Macaca fascicularis: one gene and its partner. The protein of the gene in region 2 interacts with the protein of the main gene of each other region in a pairwise test. Links are inferred from orthologs where the notes say so. Each region holds a gene or a part of one and is shown on either strand. Other genes may lie near its edges. The genes, in order: NUMA1 and BRAP.

Region 1 (3,813 bases), on a different chromosome or scaffold from region 2:
AGGAAGACATCTCCCAGGGAGTCCAGGCTGCTCTCCAGGGGGGCCTGACTCCGAGCAGGGATGGGAGTGAAGTAGAGACTCTCCAGGGATTCTACCTTGGGGGGCAGGCGCTGGGAGATAGGTGAGGCTGGTTCTCCAGGGACGCTGGTGCCGTCTGGCTGGGTACGAGGCAGCTTGCTATGGAAAGGAAACCTGCTGAGGTACAGTCTTTTGGGCTAGAAGGCATTTTGTCCAGCCCTTTTCCAAAGTGACCATTTTCCATACTATAAGCAGATGAGGTCAAGCAACCCATGTCTCTGAATTTTCAGAGGTACCAAGGAAAGCCCTTGACCTGGGCCTTCCCTTCAGTCCACTCCCCTGGCTTCTCCTAATACCTCCTCATAGTGGCAATGCCCAGACCCAGATGTCCCATCCTCACCAGATGCCCACGGCTGCTCCACAGCAAACACGTCCCAATCTAAGCCCACTTCTCTGTTCTTCCTCCTTCATCTCCCATTTCAGTGAATACGAGCACCTGCCACTCAGGCCCCCAAACCATGAACATGGGCATAATTCTATGTTGTCCTGCTTGGGAAGCCCAATCACCAAGCTTCCTCAACAGCTCTCCTAACCATACCCTCTCCATGCTTATGTCCTTTTCCTGGTTTGTCTCATCTCCTCTCACCTAGACTCATCATGGCACTCACAGAGGCAGATGAGTGGTGACAAGCAAGGACTCAGGCCAGGCTGCACAGGGTCAAACCCCAGCTCTACCACTGGGGGACCTTGGGCAAATGACTACCCCTCTATGCCCCAGATTCATCTGTTAAAGGAGACAGAATAAACCTACCTCAGAGGGTTGTTGGGGGATAAATCAGGTATAATTGTTATGAGTGCTTTATGTCTAGCACAAAATAAGTACAATGTAAGTGTTTAATAAAAACAATATGTATTTCCAGTCTTAACTTCTATATTGGCTATTAGAATCATCTTTTTAAGATGGAAATTAACCATGTACTCTTCAGTTTCAAATTCTTCCAAGGTTCCTTTTTTTTTTTTCCCTTAAACCTTTCAATTATAGCCACCAAGGTTTCCTCAATGCCTTTAGGATCAAGTCTTAATAGCCGGTCTCCAACGGGGAGTCCAGATGGCCCTCTAGGATCTTGGGCCTTCCTGGCCTTGCATCTCAGCCTAGTCAGGCTCTTTCACAGCCTCTGTTCACACTGCTCTTCTCTGTCAACCTGGCACACACACCTATGGATGCTTTCAAGACTCAGCAGGAGCGATAGCTTCCATGAAGCCTTTCTTGACCGCTTGCTTTTTATTCCAACTGTGCCCTAAACAGACATCTGGTATAATACCTGTTTTTCTTTATTCTTCTCTAAGAATAAATTTGGATCACATCTTATTTATCTCACCAGGATACAGCCTGATAAACAGCGGGTACTCCATAAACAACAGACATAGGGAGGAAGAGTGCCTCCTGACCTAGTGATACTGAGTGGGGTCCCCTCCTCGCAGCTCAGATCCAGGCTGTCAATACTCAAGTCCAGCTGGGGCTTAGCCTGGGGCTCACGGCTCTTTAAAGCATCAGTTGCCACCTGGAATTTGCCCAGGTCTCGAAGCTGCTGGTCTGCGTGGGCAACCTGAGAAGGAGAGGGCCAGGGGGAGAGTGAAGAAAAACCTAAGGCATCAGTGGCCTAGGAGGAGAGGGCACAGGGGTCCAGTGGGATAGGGGTGAGGTGAGTCTGCCAGCCAAATTCTTACCTGTGCCTCCAGGCTGCGCACCTGGGCAGTAAGGTGGCGGCATGTCTGTTCAGCCTCCTTGGTCTTCAGCCCAGCCTGCTGTAGCTCATGGCCCAGCCGTTCGGCTTCAGCTCGCAGCTCTTTGTTTTCCTTCTGCAGGTGCTCCAGGCTCTGCAGCTGCTCCTGCAGCTCTTGGTTCTGCTGCTTCTTGGCATCATAATGAGTTTTGGCTTTCTCCATCTGTGGGCAGAGAGGATGGGTGGGTGGGGCAGAGGCTGGAGGGCAGGAAGAAGGTAGCATGGGCTGGGGCTGGGCTCCTTACCTGCAGCTTATAGTGCTCAGCTGCCTGCTCCTTCTGGCTCAACTGGGCTTGCAGTTCATTCAGCCGGGCCTGGAGGCGCTGGGCCTCCTGCTGGCTCTCACCGCCCTGAGCCTGGACAGCCTGAGAAGAAAGTCCACTCAGGAAAGCTGGTCTGGCCCCTCTACCCAAGTCCACTCATCTGCATCAGCCACTGGGGCTCAAGAGGTGCTTCAGACTCCTGCACTTAGGAAGAGGAAGAAAACCACACCACCCCAGATACACTCCACCCGACTACAGCCTACTGAACCTGAAGTCCACATGCCCTTCAGTCCACATCCATAGTGGCCTTTCCCTGACCAGCTCCTGCCCTATCTTTGCCTTCTTTGAGATAGGACACAAACTGTCTCACCCTCTTTGCATGCACACACAATCTCCCCTAGGAGGAAGGGAACCGATCCTCGAGGAACACCCAGGTGCGGAGCCTGGAGTGAGGCACTTGGCATGTGAGCTCTCTGAGGACAGGGGAACTTGTTTCTCCTCAAAGCCACTCTGAGAAGTCACTTCATCCCCTTTTCAGAGGAGGAAACTGAGTTCAAAGATTTAAGCAAATTGACCATAGCAACAATGACTAAATGGCAGAGTAAGACTTGGTCCACTAAACTCCAAAAGCCCGTGGGGGCTTATTTATGATGCCCACACTGCCTCCTGTCCAGACTATAACTCCTTAAGAACAGGGCCTGATTCTCTGTCCATCTGCAAGGCCAGCAAGTACTCTGCGGTAGATACTGTACAGAAACATCCCACCTTTGCCTCTCCTAACACAGGACAGGCCCCACAAGGAGCAGAATAAACATTTGTTTATTGCAATCAAGACATGCTGTGGCACCATGGTATGAAATGAAGCTCTGAGCTCCCACCAACTCCTAGGACCCACCAGGGCTTTAGTGAGTCCCAATACCACTGATGTCCAATTCCTTTGCCCCTGACTAAAGGCTGTGCAGCCTAGAACTGCAGAAAGCAAGTATTAAACCAAAGAAGGTGACACAGTTGGAATCATTAAGAATGTTATTAAACTGCATTGTAATATTCAACACTGGTGACACTCGTTCTTTCCCTGCCCAGACTATCTGGACTTACATGGTTCAACAGAACTTTATGCAACGGTGGAAAGTTCTGTATCTGTGCTGTCCAATGCAGCAGCCACTAACCACATGTAGCTACTGAGCAGGGACACAATGTAGCTAGTGTGATTGAAGAACTGGATTTACTTTAATAAATTTCAATAACCACACATGACTAGTAGCTGCTGTAGTGGAGACAGTTGAGAGATGGGAACCACCCTGGTTGTCTCTTGAGAGCTCCCAGAAGACACACGCAGGGGCTTCTAAGCCACAGGCTTCCTAGGAGGGCTGCCTGGAACACAGGGTGCCCCTCCTCTGCCCCCACACCCCCACGGCCCGAGAGCTTAGAGAACAGCTTTCCTCCCCTGTCCAGAGGCCAGACCCGTTCCCCCAGCTGCCCCACCTTCAGCTTCTGCTGCTGCACTTTGCTGGCTTGGTCAGAGTCAGCCAGTTTCTTCCTCAGTTCTTCCACCTGGGGAGGGAAGAGGAGGACAGAAGACTCAGGAGGACTTCCCCTGGATGTTCATCCCAGATGTCTACCCATCATGGGGTGGCCCAGACCAGGATCCCCAGTATTCCTAGAATAAACTCAGGCCCTTTCTCTGGCCTCCAATTAGGGAACAGCCTGCTGCCCAGGCTGCTTGGCAGGGCCTGAGTGAGGCAATC
Region 2 (3,813 bases):
AGTCCCTAAGATCCAGAGTTAGCAATAAACAATACAACTCATGATACCAAGATAAAGGGCTCTAGCCCCGTGGGGAAGAACGTGCAGCAACCTGTTTCACAGTCACAGAAAAAGATCTGTCAACTTGAGCAACCTTCACTTGATCAAAAGACAGACGGGGAAGGACAGTGCAGAAATACAAGGAAAATCCATTCACAGTAAATATTCACAGTATTACCTGCACATTACGAAGGGCAGTACTTGTTATAGGGAACTGTGTGGGTTTATTAAACAGGTGAGTGTGGTGCATTTGTAAGACTTCAGACTATTTTAAAAGCCTAAATGTTCTTGAACATTTTTGTCTGGGTCTTTTCCTTTGTTATTTGCTTATTGCCCTAGTTGTTAAGTAGAAACTATAACAATACTGCTGTCATCGAATGTCTCACAACCAACTGCCTCCCTTCCCCACACCTTCATCCCACTTCCTACTAGAAGAGGAACGCGTCCCTGGAACTAAAAGTGAGGATGCCACTCTTGCTTGCCATTTATGTCTAGCTATGTAACCCTGGGCAAACCACTTATCTCCCTCTGCAGTCACCCCCCACATCTGTAAAACAAGGATAACAATACTGTTTCCGCAAGGGATTGTAGTGAGGATTAAATGAGACAAAGCGTATTGAACACTTAGCATAGTGAGTGATACAGAAGCCATCGATAAACGCTGGATATTATCATCGTTATCCTTATTATTACATGTGCTACCAGACTGAAATGGCTCAAGGCAGGATTTTCTCATGGTTTGCAAAGCTCCTTGGCAACCTTGGAAGGCTTTCTGACGGTCAGTGAAAGGAGCTATTCAAGTGCTTTTCTGTTCTTAATGTCAACTTGTAAACTTTAAATCTACGGGATAATTGAAACGTGTTTTAAATGTCTCCCTAAATGATAGGGTACTTTGTAAAGATAAAACATATTAACTGTGTACTCTCTTGTAGACAGAACTCCACACTAAAGCTTCTCTCTGGGGCTCACAGAACAGGTACACTCTTCCACTTCATTAAAAAGACAATGAGGCCAGGCACGGTGGCTCACGCTTATAATCCAAGCACTTTCAGAGGCCGAGGCGGGCAGATCACCTGAGGTCTGGAGTTCGAGACCAGTCTGACCAACATGGAGAAACCCCGTCTCTACTAAAAATACAAAATTAGCCGGGCGTGGTGGTGCATGCCTGTAATCCCAGCTACTTCGGAGGCTGAGGCAGAAGAATGGCTTGAACCTGGGAGGCAGAGGTTGCTGTGAGCCAAGATCGCACCATTGCACTCCAGCCTGGGCAACAAGAGCTAAACTCTGTCTCAAAAAAAAAAAAAAAAAAAAAAAAGAAAATGAAAGAAGTGGGGTTAATGGAAAATAATAAGATGGTGTTAACTTCAAAAAGTTTGGGAACTACTGCTTTTCTGGAATAGTTACCACTTGTTTAAAAAAACAAGCAGGCCGGGCATGACGGCTCATGCCCGTAATCCCAGCACTTTGGGAGGCTGAGGCGGGTGGATCACGAGGTCAGGAGTTCGAGACCAGCCTGGCGAACATAGTGAAACTCCGTCTGCATTAAAAATACAAAAATTGGCCAGGTGCGGTGGCTCAAGCCTGTAATCCCAGCACTTTGGGAGGTCGAGACGGGCGGATCATGAGGTCAGGAGATCGAGACCATCCTGGCTAACACAGTGAAACCCCATCTCTACTAAAAAATACCAAAAAAACTAGCCGGGTGAGGTGGCGGGTGCCTGTAGTCCCAGCTACTTGGGAGGCTGAGGCAGGAGAACAGCGAAAACCCAGGAGGCAGAGCTTGCAGTGAGCCAAGATCCGGCCACTGCACTCCAGCCTGGGCGATAGAGCGAGACTCTGTCTCAAAAAAAAAAAAAAAAAAAAAATACAAAAATTGGCCAGGCATGGTGGTGCATGCCTGTAGTCCCAGCTACTCAGGAGGCTGAGGCAGGAGAATGGCGGGAACCCGGGAGGCGGAGGTTGCAGTGAGCCAATACCACACCACTGCACTCCAGCCTGGGTGACAGAGTGAGACGGAGTCTCACGCCCAGGCTGGAGTGCAGTGGCGCGATCTCGGCTCACTGCAAGCTCCGCCTCCCGGGTTCCCGCCATTCTCCTGCCTCAGCCTCCTGAGTAGCTGGGACTACAGGCGCCCGCCACCGCGCCCGGCTAATTTTTTGTATTTTTTTTTTTTAGTAGAGACGGGGTTTCACTGTGGTCTCGATCTCCTGACCTTGTGATCCGCCCGCCTCGGCCTCCCAAATGGGGCGACAAACTTCATTATTCAAATCTTATTACGTTGTCTCACTCTTGTCACCCAGGCTGGAGTACAGTGGTGTGATGTCAGCTTTCTGCAACCTCTGTCTCCTGGCAAAACCTTAGATTTCATACCGAATCTGATCTATAAAAAATCATGGGCATAAGGCCAGATGCAGTGGCTCAGAGCAACTGTAATCCCAGAACGTTGGGAGGTCAAGGCAGGAGGACTGCTTGAGGCCAAGAGTAGCCTGGAAAACATAGCAAGATCTCATCTCTACTGGAAAAAAATAAAAAAAATAAATAAAAATACCATGGGTATACGTTATAATTGTATTTCTGCTAATGAATTTAGAAATACATCTAGAATTAGAATTATATCTTAGAAGACATATCAAGAATCTTAAGTGCAAAATGCCGTAAATCACAACAGCTACTATCATACAGTTTCAATAACACAGTTTCTGTGGCAAAGAGATTTTTAATAACTTTAATAACTTTTACCTGTGCACTAAACTTTATCAGCACCATATATTGGTTGGGAGTAGAGTCTCTGATGATTTTCATTTGTTCAATTACTTCATTAAATGGGGCGACAAACTTCATAAGGTCATGACTGGTCATTGCAGCAGGGACTGTGAGAATACACAGCATGGCACTGCGCCGCACATCTTCTTTTAAGGAGGTCATCTTACTAACAAAACAATAATTAGAGGGTCGTAAATAGATGAGGTATGGTTAAACAACAGCAGACAACTTTTATGTCCAAGAAAACAGGAAAAAATAAAATTTTAATATTTCATTAATGAATTGTTCTACATTATACCCCCCCACTGGACTTTTTAATCTTCACTTCAATGTTTATTATGGTTAGAAATCTGCATTAGGCAAATTTGCAGTGTTTTACTCTTATCTATGTTTGAATAATAATCTGTCACTGGTGGCTAGGCGCAGTGGCTCATGCTTGTAATCTCAGCACTTTGGGAGGCTGAGGCAGGCAGATCATGCGGTCAAGAGATCGAGACCATTTGGCTAACATGGTGAAACCCCATCTCTACTAAAAACACACAAAAAATTAGCCAGGCCTGGTGGCGGGTGCCTGTAGTCCCAGCTACTTGGGAGGCTGAGGCAGAAGAATGGCATGAACATGGGAGGTGGAGCTTGCAGTGAGCCAGATCGCGCCACTGCACTCCAGCGTGGGCGATAGAGCAAGACTCCGTCTCAAAAAAAAAAAAAAATGTCTGTCACTGATTAACTTAAAAGCACAACTCTGGCTATGGACCTCTCTTAAAGGGCCTAAAAAAAGAGCTCTAAATATAAGAGAGTTCTCTATCTCTCTTTTTTTTTTTTTCAGATGGAGTCTTGCTCTTGCTGCCCAGGCTGGAGAGAAATGGCACGGTCTCGGCTCACTGCAACCTCTGCCTCCTGGGTTCAAGCAATTCTCCTGCCTCAGCCTCCCAAGTAGCTGGGATTACAGATGTGTGCCACCACGCCCAGCAAGAGAGAATTCTAAACTATGAGGATGTAACTGAGTATTAC

What was found.
Region 1: the proteins of BRAP (region 2) and NUMA1 interact in a two-hybrid assay, tested with the Homo sapiens proteins (2 studies listed by BioGRID and IntAct). The link is inferred for Macaca fascicularis from reciprocal best matches to the Homo sapiens genes BRAP and NUMA1.

Annotation. Positions count from the first base shown.
Region 1 is NC_088388.1:70,766,530-70,770,342, forward strand, and holds part of NUMA1 (nuclear mitotic apparatus protein 1), read right to left. Parts: intron 3,620-3,813; coding exon 3,551-3,619; intron 2,168-3,550; coding exon 2,048-2,167; intron 1,966-2,047; coding exon 1,747-1,965; intron 1,626-1,746; coding exon 1,468-1,625; intron 178-1,467; coding exon 1-177. UniProt on the Homo sapiens protein: Microtubule (MT)-binding protein that plays a role in the formation and maintenance of the spindle poles and the alignement and the segregation of chromosomes during mitotic cell division.
Region 2 is NC_088385.1:118,568,842-118,572,654, forward strand, and holds part of BRAP (BRCA1-associated protein), read right to left. Parts: intron 2,969-3,813; coding exon 2,779-2,968; intron 1-2,778. UniProt on the Homo sapiens protein: Negatively regulates MAP kinase activation by limiting the formation of Raf/MEK complexes probably by inactivation of the KSR1 scaffold protein.